Canis lupus familiaris: one gene and its partners. The protein of the gene in region 1 interacts with the protein of each later gene in a pairwise test. Links are inferred from orthologs where the notes say so. Each region holds a gene or a part of one and is shown in the gene's direction. Other genes may lie near its edges. The genes, in order: AP4B1, TEPSIN and ZNF576.

Region 1 (4,492 bases):
GGATCCACCTCTTAGATACCTGAGGAAAAAGGTGGTCATTCTAGTGAACACAGAATCTCCTTGATACTGCCCTGGATCAGGAACTAACCCTTTACGGCAAGGAGGGAGGGAAAGCAGACCACATCCTAAGCCACCGTGGAGCAGGAGCTCTATGGAGAGTCCCCTCAAATCCCCCCTTCTTTCTCTTACTCTCCCCTCCCACTCTTTGTACAGTTTAAATTATGAGTCCAAAACCAGTCTAGCCAAGAGATTCTCAAACATTCCTGATCATCATAATCCCTAGGGAGCACCTGGTCCAACCAGATTTCCAAGACCTGCTCCAGCTAGATCTACTGGATCGGTGGGAGAGCGGAGGTAGGGTGGGGGCCGCTGGAGAACATGTGTAGTCCCCCAGCACATTAGGTGGATTCTGATGAGACTAAGGAAGCACTGGCCTGGTTTACATGAAAAGGTAGGTAGTTTCCTTGGGTGGACTAAAAGATCTCCCCGACTTCTAGCTGAAACATCCCAAGTCGGCCAGTCAAGAAGCCAGGCGCATTTCTGGATTCAAACCACTCCCGCATTTGTAAAACTCGGCCCTCCTGTCCCCGCTCTACGCGCCCGAGGCTGTGACGGATCGCACAGCGCCACGGGACTCCGCCCCGCCCCCTTCCCCTCCCCCGAGCCCCCGGGTACCTGCAGCTGACGGTGCACGAGGTGAGCCGTGATGGGGGAGCAGTAGAGCGGCCGGGCCCAGGTGCTAGACAAGCCCACGGTGTGGTCCGAGTGCATGTGGGACAGGAAGAAGAGCCGTGCGGAGCCAGCCCGGCGCAGGCTCCAAAAGTCCACGGCGATGGGGGTGTGGGGGATCAGGGCCCCGTTCATGGTGGCGGGGCCGCGGGCTCACCCGCGGGATCCTCATGGGCTCAGGGCTCCGCGATCGCGCCCTCTGGAAAGTCGCGCTGGGGGCAACGGGAAGCCGGCCCGGGAGAGGAAGAAGCCCCTGCAGGCGGGGACAGAAAGAAGGAAGCGGCCGCGCTCCCGGGAGGCCCGGCTGGAAGCGCAAACCGCGCAAACCGCCCGCCCGAGCGCCACTCCTCCCCGCGCGCGGGAGCCGGGGCTGAGGCCGGGCACTCAAAGCGCGCGCTGCCGGGCGCAGACAGGCCGAAGCAGCGGATCTCCGATGGTCGCCGCGCCCCCGGCAGAGGGAGCTGCGCGGCTGCGCCCCGCGGAGCGGCGGGGGAGGGCGCCGGGAGGTCGGCGTCCGGGCGGCGCTCGGCGCTCGGCGCTCCCGCGGGGGGGGGGGGGGGAGGGGGGGCGCGGCTGGGCGCCGTCGGCCCGGAGGAGGCGGGACTTCCGCAGGGCGCGGGCCGGGGCCTATCGGGGCGGGTCGCCGCGCGGAGGCGCTCGGACGGCGGCCCCGGCCGGGAGGGGGCCGCGCCCTGGGGCGGCGAGGCTGGGAGTGGGGCGGAGGGCCTCGGGGTAGCCGGGGCCGTCTCGGGGCGGAGCGAGCCGGCCTGCGGGCCCCAGGAGGGAACCGCCGGAGCGGGTGCGGGGCTCGCCGGGCCGTGGAGCCTGGGCTGCGGCCCGGGGGAAGCGGAGGCGGGGCCGACCTCACGCCTCGGGGCGCTTCGCCGACCGACCTTTGCTTCGCCCAGGTTCCCCCGTCAGGGCTGGGAGGAGCCCGCGGGGACTGCTCCTGGCCGGGAGACGATGCCGTACCTGGGCTCCGAGGACGTGGTGAAGGAGCTGAAGAAAGCTCTGTGCAACCCTCACGTTCAGGCGGATAGGCTGCGCTACCGGAATGTCATCCAGCGAGTGATTAGGTATCAGCCACGGCCCGCGCTCCCCGCCGCCGCGGGCCCTCCACCCCTGGCCGCTCACACCGGGCAGGGCACGTCGGGTCGCCCTGCTGCCCCGCCGGCCTTCGCAGCCTCCCCCGGGGGACCCACTTGACTCCGTTTACTCGGGAGAGTGGCTACACCCGTGCCTGGAACTTACACTGCTGACTCCCTCTAGACCTATAGAATCTGGGACAAAAAGCCTTTTGTATCTTCAGACCCACATATCCTACTGCCTGCTGGGCATTCCCTTCTGGATGTTTCTTCAAAGACATGCAAAATAGCACCTGTGTCCTGCCCCTCTCCCCAAACCTGCTCTTCCGCTGGTATTTGGGTTGAGGAATGTCACCATCCAGCTGACCAGGGGAGGGAATCAGTCTTGATGACTCTTGATTTTCACTTCTCTGGTCAGATGGTATGGATATATAGTTCTAGATATCCATCTTCTTTTCCTTAAAAAGTTCTACCTATTTATTTTTTGTTGGCACCGCTGTTCTGGTTTTATTATCAAAGCAATTGCAGCGGCTTACCAGTAGGTCACCTTGCCTCATTTCAGTCAAGTTTCCCAACATATGAGTTTGAATAATGCATAACTCTTGCCTGTGGTTGTGGATTGCAAACTTTGGTATGCACAAAAGTCCCTTGGGGTGCTTTTTTTAAAAAATGTAAAATTTTCATCCGGTCCAGTAATACTGCTTTTAGTAAGGTGGCGTGGAACCCAGGAATATGCATTGGAAACAGACATCCCATCTGCTTCCTGTAGGAGACCACCGCTTGAGAAACAGTGATCTACAGAATAAAGTCCAAACTTCTTATCATAGCAACCAAAGAACACCCTGCTTAGGGAACTACTTGCAGACTCGCAGAGTGTAGCATTACTTACCTACTACACTTGCCTGGAAAATTCCAGCTCATTCAACTGAAGTATTACTTCCCCTTTGGAAACATTTTTTATGATTTTTTTAAATTTATTTATTCATGAAAGACACAGAGAGAGGCAGAGACACAGGCAGAGGGAGAAGCAGACTCCATGCAGGAAGCCGGATGCAGGACTCTTTCCAGGGACTCTAGGATCACACCCTGGCCCGAAGGCAGGCACCAAACCGCTGAGAAACCCAGGGATACCCCCAATTTTATGATTTCTTAGCAGTATTAGATTTCTGGATCCCCACTGCACCTTGTCTGTTACTTCTGTTTTAATACCTACCTGTGGTACTGTAATTAGTGGCATTTTTTTTATCTTGCTCCTTAGTCATATTTTGAGTTCCTAGAGATCTGAGACCATGCATTCTTCAAGATTATATCCCCAGAGCATATCCCTGGAATGTAGAAGCTGAGTTACACTGGAATGTACCAGGAATTCAATAAGTGTTTGTTGAATGAATAGAACATTTGTGGTAGGCCCATAGTGTGAAGTATTGTGCAGTGTAATAGGCAAGGTAGATGTGGTTGCTTCCTTCACAATCCAGTTGGATAGCCAGGATGTGTATAGGTAAAATGCCTTTTGTTGTCGGCTGGGGATTATGTATTTTACTTTTTTCTACTGTGTGTATTGGTTTCAGGCACATGACTCAGGGCTTGGACATGTCCGGTGTTTTCATGGAAATGGTGAAGGCGAGTGCCACTGTAGATATTGTTCAGAAGAAGTTGGTTTATCTGTACATGTGTACATACGCCCCCCTGAAACCAGATCTGGCTCTTTTGGCTATTAATACGCTGTGCAAAGACTGTTCGGATCCCAATCCGATGGTGCGAGGGCTGGCATTACGGAGCATGTGTAGCCTTAGGTGAGTACCCGCTTCCCTGACTGTTTATCAGTGGCTGATGTATTCAGGAGATCATGGGACATGTTTTCAATGGTGATAATCTATTTGAGCTTCGTAATACTAGGGAAAATGCTGTTGTAACCTGAACTCAGGTTTTCAGCCATTGCTTAGGCTTAAAAAAACTATGTCATATGGTTACATTAAAGGGAGTTTTCCATCCTCACTGAAATAGTTTTTGGTTTTGGGTAAAGGTTTCTAAACAAGTCAGTAAATATAGATAATATGTAGATAATATATTTTTGCTGCCCCTGGAGTATTATTCCAAATGAAAAATCAAGTCTGACTTTTTAAGTTGGGCAGTGGCTTTCCCTAATTCTTTATGATGTGATAGAGGTACATTCAAACATCTACTAACCCTCTTGTTAAGTGAATAGGGGCTGAAGTATGTCAAAACTAGTATTTCAAGATCTGGCTGACTCCAGGATGTGTTGCTTAGGATGCCTGGTGTGCAGGAATATATCCAACAGCCTATTCTCAATGGCCTGCGAGATAAAGCTTCATATGTCAGGAGGGTGGCGGTCCTTGGTTGTGCCAAGATGCATAATCTTCATGGAGACTCTGAAGTGGGTAAGTTTCAGTGTAATCCATCATGATCAGTATTTATTTGTGTCTCCATTATATGTATGGTTTTGTAAAAGATGACATGACTTTGGTAGAAAATAGTAATATGGCCCTACTTCTGTACTTGCCTCTTTAAGTAGAAAGGCTGGTTTGGTATTTTTTGAGATTAGAGAAGTCTTTTCTTTGGGGGCCCAGGTGAGATCCATTGGATTAGCTACTTAGAACAGTATGGAGATGGCAATTTTTTGCCTTGCACTTTGTTATTGCCTTTGTTATTTTTGAGGC
Region 2 (5,269 bases), on another chromosome or scaffold:
TTTGGACGTTTGCCCTTGGTGGCCGTCAGCACCAGGCGCCCGGCTCTGCTCCCTGGGGCAGTAAACAAGTGCAGTGCTCGCTCGTCCATCCTAAAGGCCTCCCCTCAGGGTCTTTTTGGCCTAGAAAATAAAGAATTTGGTGTGAACAGGTTAAGTTAGAAGAGACCATAAAACAAGAAAACCATCCCACCAAACGCCGTCCGGCAGCAGCAAACATCTTCCAGAGAGCCCGGCTGCGGGCGCCGGCACGGCCGCGTGGCTGGAGGCTCAGGTGCTTGGAGCTGCCGCAGGCCAAGGCCCTCAAGCCACGCCGCCCTGGACCAGGCCCTGTGCAGGCCCCCCAACACAGCGCGCTCAGTGCTCACAAGGCGGCGGGAGCTCCTTACAGAGAACGCTGAGGTGAAGCGCCGAAAACACTTGCCCAGAGACAGGGCTCCCTGGCACGGAGCTGGACGGGACCCAGCACCCTCTCTGCCTCCTCAGGCAGCTCTGTGCAAGGCTGGGGACTGCAGCAGACTGGGCAAAAAGGTGCTCATCGGTGCATTTCCTCGTGGTGACAAACACTCAAGCACCCTCGTCCTGAACGTCAGGTCCCCCAGCTCTCAGCAGGGTCATCTTCCGTGATGGGGGCATGGGAAAGAGCCCCCAAGCTTAGGGCGCGCTGTGGGAGCATCTGTAGACGACCATGGCAAAGGAGCATACAGGCGCCTGGAACAGGTGGGCCCTCACCACAAAAGGTGCCACGGAGAGACCTGTGTGTAGGGAACGTGTTTGGTCCTTCCACGGAGCTTCTTCCAAGCTGCAGCCCCAGAGTGGAGAGTCCCCCGGGGAAGACTGTAGAACCGGGGAGGAAGCGCAGGGGACAGGTGTGCCTGGCTGCACGGCCCACGTCATATACGAGGCTGGCCACGGGTGGGGGGGGGGGCTGGCTGGGGGCAGGACCAGGCCTGAGCGTCCCCGGGGAGGTGCAAAATCTCCGAGCCCCCGGGAAGGGAGCCTCGCACTGTCCTCTCCCAGACAAGCGGCCAAGGCACAGCTACCCGCTCAGGATGATCGATCCCGGAATGTCAGGGGACGGACGGCCTGAGGTCCCCGGAGTCCGCCGAGCTCAACCGCCCTGTCCGCGTCGGGTCCTCTGCACCGGCAGCTCCGGGGGACACAGGGGATCGCGGGCATCCCGGCCCAGCCCAGGGCCCCCTCCTCGGGCGCCGGGTTCCTGGAGCATGTCCAACCCCATGTGCTCCACGCGACCCGTACTCTCCGCTTTGGGGCAGGGCAGGCGGTCACAGCACCTCCGCAGGCTGCGCGTCGGCAGCAGAAGGGGCGTGATGCGGCGCGGCTGAGTCCCGGCCCCGGAGCAGAAGCCCCGCGGGGGCCAGAGGGCCAGCGAGCGCCGCTCGGGGGCTGCCCTTCCCGGGGAGCGGCCTCCTGAATGCCCTTCGCCGTCGGGGGTCGGGCGGCGCGGCCGGCCTGAGCGCACGCGCGGGAAGGAGACGGCAGCTGCCGCTGCGCCCGGGCCCCCCCCGCCCCGCGCCCCACTGTCCCCCGGGGGCGCCCACCTACCGCGGCGGCGAAGCAGCGCCGCAGAGCCTCGAACTCCGGCGCACAGAGGTCCTTCGCCAGGCGGCCGCCCGGGGCCGTGGACGCCTGCACGCACCTGCCGTAGGCCGCGGCCTGGAGGGCGGGCGGGACGCGCCGGGATCGCGACGGCCTCCGCGCCCGCCGGTCACCGCCCCGCCCGTGCGGGCCCCGCCTGTCCCGCAGGCCCCGCCCCGCCCGGCGGCTCCTCACCTCGGCCCCGCAGGCCGCTAGGCGCCCGGGGAAGGCGCGGAGGCGGCCCCGCACGCGCCCCCACACCGCTCCGTTCCCGGACATGAGCCGCTACTCCCAGCACCCGTGGGCGCCGCCATCTTGCGCCCGCCCTCTTCCGGCGCCCAGCGTCCCGTGCGCCCCCTGATTGGCTGGGCCTCAGCCCCACCCCACCGCTAGCCCCGCCCCCTTCCGGAACGGCGACCCGGCTCCGGGAACACTGCAAGTGGCTGGCGGGTTTGTCTGTCTTTGACGTGGGACTTCGGATTGGTTCAGGCTCGCGTGGTGTGCCCGCCCCGCACGGGCGATTGGCCAGCTGGGCCAGGCGTGCGCGGGGATTGGAGGGGGGCCGCGGCGGCGGGGGGGCCGGAAGGTGACCGGCATGATGGCGGCCACGCCGGCGCTGCGGGACCGGCTGAGCTTCCTGCACCGGGTGAGTGCGGGCGGCCGCTCAGCCCCCGCCGGGGCCTCTTGCCTTCGCCCTCGGCCGCCTCCCCGCGGCGCTCACGCCTTGCGGGCCGGGCCCTGTTTCCTCTCCAGCTCCCGCTCCTCCTGAAGGGAACGTCGGATGACGACGCCCCGTGTCCGGGCTACCTGTTCGAGGAGATCGCCCGTATCCTTCGTGTCCGCCGCTCGCCCGCGGGCCGGGCCGCTGCAGCTCCTGCGCCGGAGGCCGGGGGGGCGGCGGGGCGGCGGGGAGGCCCGCGCGGGGCCGGGGGGCGGGAGGCGCGGCCGACCCCGCTCAGCCCTTCCCTAACCACGGCCGGCCAGGCATCTCCCACGAGTCCCCGGGCAGCAGCCAGTGCCTCCTGGAGTACCTTCTGACCCGGCTGCACAGCGGCTCCGGCCGCGTGAAGCTCAAGGTGAGTCCCCGCGCGGCCCCCCACCCAGGGCAGGCCCAGCTCCCACCCGCGGGCGGCGGATGCAGGCGGGGCGCGGCGGGGTGCGTGCCGCCTGCCCCACCTGCCCGCCCCCCAGGTGCTGAAGATCCTGCTCCACCTGTGTGGCCACGGCTCCCCGTCTTCCGTGCTCATCCTCAAGCGCAACCCCGCCTTCATCCAAGAGGCTGCAGGTACCGGGCGCGGGGCGGGGGGCCCTGCGCCGACCCCCAGGGGTACCCCCACCGCAGGACCCTTCCTGGCAGCTCCCGTCTGCGCCCCAGCCCTACTGCGTCTGGCCCGTCACTTTCTGCCCGTGTGTCCTGCCCGGCCTGGGCGGCCCAGGCCCGTCCTGCCTGTTCTAGTGCCCGACCCGCCAGAGATGATTCGTGTCCTCAGGGCCCGAGCCAGGGAGCGCTGTGAGCTTGCACGAGGGGGGCCTGGCCTGTCGCGGTCTAGGCGACAGATGGGGCTGCAGGGGAGCCGCCGGTCTCACCCCACCCACGCCGGGGGCTGTCCTGTTTGTTTCTCTTTAACTAGAACTTGGGAGGCGTGGCCCGAGACCTTCCCTCAGGTGAGGCAGCTGCAGCATCTACAGGCCCCGCCGCCCGGCCTCGGGGAGTCTTGGAAGGGCCCACGTTCAGGCAGGAACCGTGCACACCGAGCTGGGCCCGTGAGAGCCCCGGGGAGGCACCTGGTGCGCTCGGAGGACCCCCATCGTTAGGCAGCACCTCCCCGCCCTGAAGCCACCTCAGCCCTTCAAGGACAGGCTGGGCGAGGCTGGGCACTCGGCACCCCGGAGAGCATCCTGCCCCCAGACTTGGCCGCTGCCCCCGGTGTCCACCGGGGCTCGTGCTCGTCACCAGTGCCCCCCAAAACTCCTGTGCAAAAACAGCAGGCCTGCCTCGCTTACTTTCGCCGGCCGGGGCGTGTCTGTGCTGCCAACTTGCACACAAGCCGTCCCCCAGTCCTGCACCCCAGGAACACGTGGCCACAGCCTCCATCTGCCATGCTCCAAGCCCAGGGGACAGCGCCAGGCTGTGGGGAGGTGGCCCCAGGGCAGGAGTCCCATGGGAATGAGGGGGTGCCATCCCCACTCACTGGAGGTTCGGCTCCCGGCTGCTGGTCCTGGGCCACCAGCCGCAGTGGAGACAGCACGGTGCCAGGGGGCTGGGAAGAGAGGTGCGTCTGTGACGGATGAGACAGAGCCTAGGGTGGGCTCGTTTTTTCTGGAGAATCTCACTTGCTGTAACCCTGAGCTCAGACCTTCGAGAGGTGGAGCTTGTGGGTCATGATAAAGAGCGGGCTTTTGTCGCCCGGCCCCCCGGGACCTCTGTGGGGCTTTGGATTGGACGAGATCCTCTGTGTGTCTTTCGGGCAGAAGGGGGTGCAGAGGTAGTAAGGCTGCCCCTGCAGGAACTCAGAGAGACGGTGGGGTCAGGGAGGGGGCCACCCACGTCGTGCTTTGCAGGTCGACACGCAGGCCTGGTGTGAGCATGGGAGCTGGGGCCTGCAGGGGTGCGGCTCTAGAAGCAGCCTGGGGCAGGGCGTCCTGGATGAGGGGCTCTGGGTGCTCTCCAGGCTTTGTCCATGGGGCAGAGCATTCTGGGGGGGTGGCAGCTTCCGCGGGCTGATGGCTGCTGTAAGGACTTTGACCTGGAAGTGCTGTCATGTGGGGGATTTGAGGTCCGACCTGTGCTTTAGGGAGCTAACCCTGACCCTGGGGCTGCCAGGGCCACCTGCCGGGGATCAGAGTTGTAGGGGCCCCTGGGGGGCCTGGTCACGGCCGGGATGGGCTGCAGCTCACCCCCCCAGGGAACGCGAGTGTTGGAGCGTCACCCCTGCGGTCACCAGCGCCCGCTCAGCGTTGGTTCTCCGGCTCTGCCCGCAGCGTTCTCAGGGCCCCCGGATCCTCTCCACGGGAACAGCTTGTACCAGAAGGTGCGGGCGGCCGCCCAGGTGAGTCGGGACTCAGGTCGGCTCTAGGGCAGCACTGGGCCTTTGTTCTCCAACCGCCTGGGACCCTGGCTCTGTTCCTGCTGTGGGACCAGCCCCCCGTCCCCCCCACCCAGCCTGGCCTCTGAGAACCCTGGGGACGGGGGGATGGGGGGGGATGGCAGCCCAGCTGCACGTGCTGAGCACCCTCCTCCTCATCTAGGACTTGGGAAGCGCACTATTCTCTGACAGCGTGTCCCCTCCGCCTCACTCCCAGGCTCCCAGGGGCCTGCTTCCAGCAGGTAGGCCGCTGTGTCCATCCCTGCCGCTGGGTGTTCCCTCTGGAAGGCCTGGGGTCCCTTCTCCCCACCTGCTGTCCTCGGCCGGCGTGCCACTCTGCGCAGGGCTGAGGATGAGTAGCCACACTTGCCTGCAGGCATGGGCTCGCAGTCCAGACCCCAGGGCTCCCTCCAGGGCTTCGGCTACAGCAAGGAGCGGGGCCACACGGGTGAGTGCTGCGTGGGCTCCCAGAGCCGTGGGGGCGAGGGCCTGGCAGCTCAGGCCTGCCGAGCCCTGGAGGGTGATGTGGCCAGCTGGCGTGCCCTGCCCACTCCACCTTCTCTGCCGGGGCCTGTGGGACGAGGCCG
Region 3 (5,234 bases), on another chromosome or scaffold:
CTGGGTAACATCTTGGCGGGGATCGCAGGCTTGTGTGCTGAGTAAGCCTTCCTCCAAACTTTTGCCATGGGGGAAGTATTTGGGCATTAGGTCCTCGCCTCTCCTAAAATGCTCAGTGAAGCAGGGCTTGGGACCTGAGAATGCTTGCGGGGGGCAGAACCTGGGAGGACGGGTCAGAACCTCGAGCTGACCTTTTGGTGGGGCGGAGCCTAGAAGACAAGAAAGGCTCCAGCATTGAGTGCTGGCTTGGAGTGGAGCCTCGCTGACCTCAAAACCTGCGCTGAGGGGCAGGACCAGGGCCAGAGAGCAGGGCCCCCAGCAGCTATCCTGTTAAGGCCTGCCCCAAACTCACTGGGGGTGGGGTCTCGCGATCTCAAAGAACATTTTCTGGATGTGAAATGTAAAGCACTAGGCCTCAAGTCCTCGCTCACCTCTGCAGCACCTCCGCCTGGCTCCGCAGCGCCACCCGCAGGCGCTCCAATTCCTTGCAGCCGTCTCGGCGGCCGCAGTCCGCGGGCAGCACGAAGAGAGCAGCGGCCCCCAACCCCGCGCCGTTCAGCAGGGCCGCGGTCTGATCCCGGGCCTGGGCTTCATCTTGTGACTCCCCAGGGCGGAGATTCCGCACAGCCAGCAGCGGGGTCCCTCGGGCCAGGGCGGCCCGCGCTGCCTCTCCCAGCGCTGGGGCCAGGGGCTCCCCGTTCCCCTCGGGGCCGGGCAGCACCAATACCAGCACGTTGGCCTCCGCCGCCCAGGGCCCTGGCGCTGCGGGCGGACAGCTCAGCTCGCCCAGGAAGAGGCCAGGGCCCAATGCTCGCAGGCTGGGGATCCCGGAGTCCGGTCGGCCCTCGGGAATCTCTATGGTCTCCACATTCCCGTCGCACAGCGCTGCGATCAGCGCGGACTTGCCACAGCCCGGAGGCCCCAGGAACAAGGCGGTCACGTCACCCCGTGGCGGTGGCATACCTGGAAGGCAAGGGGGTGGTGCAGACCCGGGTCAGGGAGCACTCGACCTTTTTCTTTCCTGGTCTGCTCACTCTGTCCCCCCTCCATTCTTGCGTGTCACTCCCAGGGAAACATCCGGCACCCACGCCCTGTCTATTCCCCAAGGACCCGGGTGGCTTGTCCGCCCTCTTTCTGGATACATTTAAAAATATATATTTTATTGATTTTAGAGAGAGAGAGAGAGCACAGCCGGGGGGGAGGGGCGGAGGGAGAAGCCCACTCCTCGCTGAGCGGGAGCCTGATGCGGGGCTCCACCCCAGGACCCCGGGGATCATCACCTGAGAGAAGACAGACGCTCAACCGGCTGAGCCGCCCAGGCGCCCCACTCTCTCGGTTTCAAAATCTTAGACATCCGGACCTCCAGGCCCCTCCTCCCTCAGGGACATGGATGTTTTTATTCCCGCACTCCTCCCTTCCAAACCACTAACCGAGCAAAGCGCTGGCAGTCACCGGAGAGCGCGATCCGCGGCGGCGGGTCAGCCGCTGAGAAGCCCCGCCCTTGGGGTCGGGCGGACGGAGGCCGAAGAGGTTAGGGCGCCCCGATTTGGGGCGGAGGGGCGGAGGGGGGGCCGTCCAGACCCGTTCCGAGGGCTCTAACCTGACGTCACTCTTTTAAGGAGGGGGTGTGTCTTGGAAGCGTGACCTCGGGGCTACAGCCCTTGGCGGCGGCTGCGCAGAGCAATCGAAGCGCGCCGGCTCCCCCCTGCTGCTGCCGCGGGGCCCCGAACAATGAGGGAGTCAGAGCGCCTGCGCGCCAGCAGCGCCCGGCCACATTTGCGCAAGAAGCGGAGGTCGGTCCGGCACGGGCGGCCGCGACGTCATCATAACGCATCCCGCTGCGGGGAAGGACCCCTCCCGTTTCTCTGAGGACCCGGCTGGCGCGACTGCATCACTGCCGGATAGTAGCCGGGCTTTCGGCGTCGAGAGGCTCCTCCGGCGAAAGGGCGTGGGAGCCCCTGGGACCTTGAGCCTCGGGGGCCCTACCCCGCTTCCCTCCGGGTGGCGGCGCTGTGACGAGGCGGCCGACTGGCGCCACGAGAGCTGCCCGCTGCTGTCCGGAGAAAAGCCGAGGCCTGGGGCTACCCGGCCTCGGGAGGAGGGAACCGAGGCTGAAGGCGCGCGTGGGAGGCGGGGGCCCGGGGTGGAACGAGGGTCACAGGATGTCAGAGAAAGATGCCTCCCGGGAGGAGGCGGGTTAGACCCGGGGCGCCACTACCTGCCTCAAGACACGTGGGAGAGCTGGTGTCAAGAGATCAAGGGTTCCATGCCCGCACTTCAGGGAGTTAGATGTGGGAGGCCAGAGGTCTCACGCAGGTCAGACGGCTCCACGGGGTATCACAGGCCTGGGGAGTCGGATCTTTTGAGAGGGTCGAAGCTTCCCTGAGGAGAGCTCCACCAGGTTAGAGTTCAAGAGGATGGCCTCTTACGGGGTGGGGTGGGGTGGGGTGGGGGTGGGCGGGAAGCAAGGGGAGCCTGCCGGAGGTCATAGGATTGCGGGCCCCTTCATGCAATGGATACATGAGCGACTTCACTTGATTTACTGTCCTGTCATGCGCGCTGCTCTCTTGACCAGAGGGATCCCAGGCGTTATGGAGGACCCGCATCTCGAAGGGGCCACGGAGCAGCAGGATCCGTCCCAGGAGAGGAGTCCCCGCAGCCCAGGAGGCGACATCTGTGAGTGCTGCTGGCCAGACGGGTGGGGTGCTGGAGCCGATGCTAGCTAGCTAAAAGGATTTCAGTGTCCCAGGCATGTAACAAGCACTCGCCTGCTGCAAAGGGGCTGTAATAAATGGTTTATAAGCTGCCCTACCAGGAACTGCCATTCTCTACCCTTACCTTTATTGTGCTCAGATGTACCCATCCCGCTCTGGCCACGTAAGTTCGAATGTGCTGCAGTTTGGACGGACAGAGTGGCACCCAGAGAGGCTTGGGTGGGAGAAAATGTTGGACACTGAGAGAGGAGACCCGAGGTTCCAGTGCCAACTCTGCCCCAGACTTTGGGTGTGTGACTTGGGCTCGGGTTTCCCTGTCAAAAGAGGTTGCCACTACTCAGGTGACACGGCTGTAAAGGGGATTAGTGGCAGAGATGGGGAAGGTTTGATATCGGGGAGTCTGCTGTTAGCAGAGGTAGCCAGTTTGACATAGGATAGCAACAGCTTCTACTGAATGCTTACTAGGTGTTGGGCGCTTTCTAAGAGTTTAACCTTCATTATCTCAGTCCTCCTGACAGACCCAATGGAATTGGCATTGCTTTCAGATAAGGGAACTGAGGCAAAGAGGTTATCTGGGACAATGAGCTCCAGTGTCAAGGTCCTCCGGCCAAAGACCACCAGGAACACACCTGCATTTGAACAAGTTGGGTTTATCGCTCATTGCACTGAGGAAGCACACACACCCTGAAGCACTGTGGGGCATCTCAGTGTTAGAAAGGACTTATCTTAGGTGATTTGGGAGAAGGTTCAAGGAAGGGTTTTGTTCCAATTAAATGCTGCCAGTAAGTAGGGGCAAAAGATAGGTTGGCTGTGTAAATAAATCTTATCCAGGAGGGGGGGTACAAAGGCTCAAGCTGTGATTGATAAAGCAGCAGCAGCCCCTCCTGTGAGCCAGGATAGGGGGATGTTTGGTCATTTTTGTGGCTTGGACAATGTTCATGTTTTGTCTGTGTTCAGACGTTACTCTGGCATGGTCTTGATGTGATTCATCTCAGTCACAGCATGGCTTTGTCTGACAAGGTTCTGTGAAACTGCTTCTGTTCAACAGGAGAACACCAAGGCCTAGCTGTGAGTGCCAGGCCAGCCCCTGTCAAGCTGCTTTTCTCTTTCTCAATACGAGTAACCACAAACCACTGTGTAGCACTGTTCTAAGCACTTTATATGAAGTAATAACCCATTTACTCCCTCCAACAACCCCATGAGGTAGTTGTAACTGTACTGATCAGTCAACCATACTGATATGGTTATGACCCCATTTTCCAGATGAGGAAACCGTTGTACTTGCCTAGGAAGTGGCAGATCTGGGATTCAGTGCCAAGTAGTCTGGCTCCAGAGGCTGTGCTCTAATCACATGGCTCTGCTGGGAGAGCACACTCCCTGGGTTCCATTCCTGACTCCACCATTTCATTTCCTAGCAAGTTGCCTAACCTTTCAGAGCCTCAGTCTGCTCATCCATAAAACGTCCTGTAATAGTTTGCCTGTGCCACTGTCCAGCCCTGACGTACAGCTGGCATATAGTAAGCACTGAATGTAAATTGTTGGCAAGACCCTGGGGCTTGGGAGAGGTCCTGGTGACTCTTGCTGGCTTCCCCCGACCTCTCCCCACGTCCCTCAGGCCACCTGGGGGCCCCGCAGTGCACCCGCTGCCTCATCACCTTCGCCGATTCCAAGTTCCAGGAGCGTCACATGAAGCGGGAGCACCCAGCTGATTTCGTGGCCCAGAAGCTGCAGGGGGCCCTCTTCATCTGCTTCACCTGCGCCCGCTCCTTCCCCTCCTCCAAGGCCCTGCTCGCCCATCAGCGCAGCCACGGTCCAGCAGCCAGGCCCTCCACGCCAGTTGCACCCACCGCTGCCCACCCTACATTCCCCTGCCCTGACTGTGGCAAGACCTTTGGGCAGGCTGCTTCTCTGAGGCGGCACCGCCAGGCGCATGAGACCCGTGTCCCTCCAGGCCCCTTTGCCTGCACTGAGTGTGGTCAGGACTTTGCCCAGGAAGCTGGGCTGCATCAACACTACATCCGGCATGCCCGGGGGGAACTCTGAGTGAGGGTTACACCCTCCCTAGGGCAATGGGTGTGTGTGTGGGGGGGATGGGTTCTGTGGCTGCTAGAACCCACCTCTGATAAGGGATGGGCGCCTTGGAAGGATGTGCTTCCCTCCCTGGACAGGCAAAGGACTCCTGATAAATAGGACCCAGAAGATGCTCATCTCCAGATTCAGTCTTTGGAGGACACAAAGGCCTTCAGGGATATAGCGAAATTAGTGAAATCTTTTAAGAGAAATGAACAAGCAAAAGGGAAAATTGTTATTTGTATCTCCCTTGTTTCCAATTAAATAGTTTGAAATCACAACTAGCTGCAGATTGTGTAATCACCTTTAATTCTTCCCAGATGGATGCCATGAGCTGTAGGAGCAAATTCCCCCTGGTTTTGTGCCTGAAGGGGGACAGGGAGGGTGAGGTGTGGCGGGGCTGTAATGTCCCTGGAAGGGTCTCAGATGTGGGGAAACTTGGGCCTTTGG

Evidence for each region.
Region 2: the proteins of AP4B1 (region 1) and TEPSIN interact in binary tests that used the Homo sapiens proteins (3 or more experiments, as listed by UniProt). The link is inferred for Canis lupus familiaris from reciprocal best matches to the Homo sapiens genes AP4B1 and TEPSIN.
Region 3: the proteins of AP4B1 (region 1) and ZNF576 interact in binary tests that used the Homo sapiens proteins (3 or more experiments, as listed by UniProt). The two-hybrid records come from large-scale screens. The link is inferred for Canis lupus familiaris from reciprocal best matches to the Homo sapiens genes AP4B1 and ZNF576.

Annotation. Positions count from the first base shown.
Region 1 is NC_049238.1:52,234,275-52,238,766, reverse strand, and holds part of AP4B1 (AP-4 complex subunit beta-1), read left to right. Parts: coding exon of another isoform or gene 1-19; intron 20-675; coding exon of another isoform or gene 676-864; exon of another isoform or gene 865-1,127; intron 1,128-1,408; exon of another isoform or gene 1,409-1,528; intron 1,529-1,637; 5' UTR 1,638-1,692; coding exon 1,693-1,805; intron 1,806-3,382; coding exon 3,383-3,607; intron 3,608-4,082; coding exon 4,083-4,213; intron 4,214-4,492. Other genes in the region: DCLRE1B (5' exonuclease Apollo), read right to left, coding at 1-19, 676-864.
Region 2 is NC_049230.1:1,688,684-1,693,952, forward strand, and holds the start of TEPSIN (AP-4 complex accessory subunit tepsin), read left to right. Parts: upstream 1-2,149; 5' UTR 2,150-2,191; coding exon 2,192-2,242; intron 2,243-2,349; coding exon 2,350-2,422; intron 2,423-2,580; coding exon 2,581-2,672; intron 2,673-2,787; coding exon 2,788-2,881; intron 2,882-4,578; coding exon 4,579-4,646; intron 4,647-4,845; coding exon 4,846-4,924; intron 4,925-5,058; coding exon 5,059-5,130; intron 5,131-5,269. Other genes in the region: NDUFAF8 (NADH dehydrogenase [ubiquinone] 1 alpha subcomplex assembly factor 8), read right to left, coding at 26-120, 1,560-1,674, 1,792-1,875. UniProt on the Homo sapiens protein: Associates with the adapter-like complex 4 (AP-4) and may therefore play a role in vesicular trafficking of proteins at the trans-Golgi network.
Region 3 is NC_049222.1:112,245,794-112,251,027, reverse strand, and holds ZNF576 (zinc finger protein 576), read left to right. Parts: upstream 1-1,675; 5' UTR 1,676-2,401; intron 2,402-2,575; 5' UTR 2,576-2,591; coding exon 2,592-2,676; intron 2,677-3,220; exon of another isoform or gene 3,221-4,065; coding exon of another isoform or gene 4,066-4,129; coding exon 4,130-4,231; intron 4,232-4,329; coding exon 4,330-4,757; 3' UTR 4,758-5,068; downstream 5,069-5,234. Other genes in the region: IRGQ (immunity-related GTPase family Q protein), read right to left, coding at 432-961. UniProt on the Homo sapiens protein: May be involved in transcriptional regulation.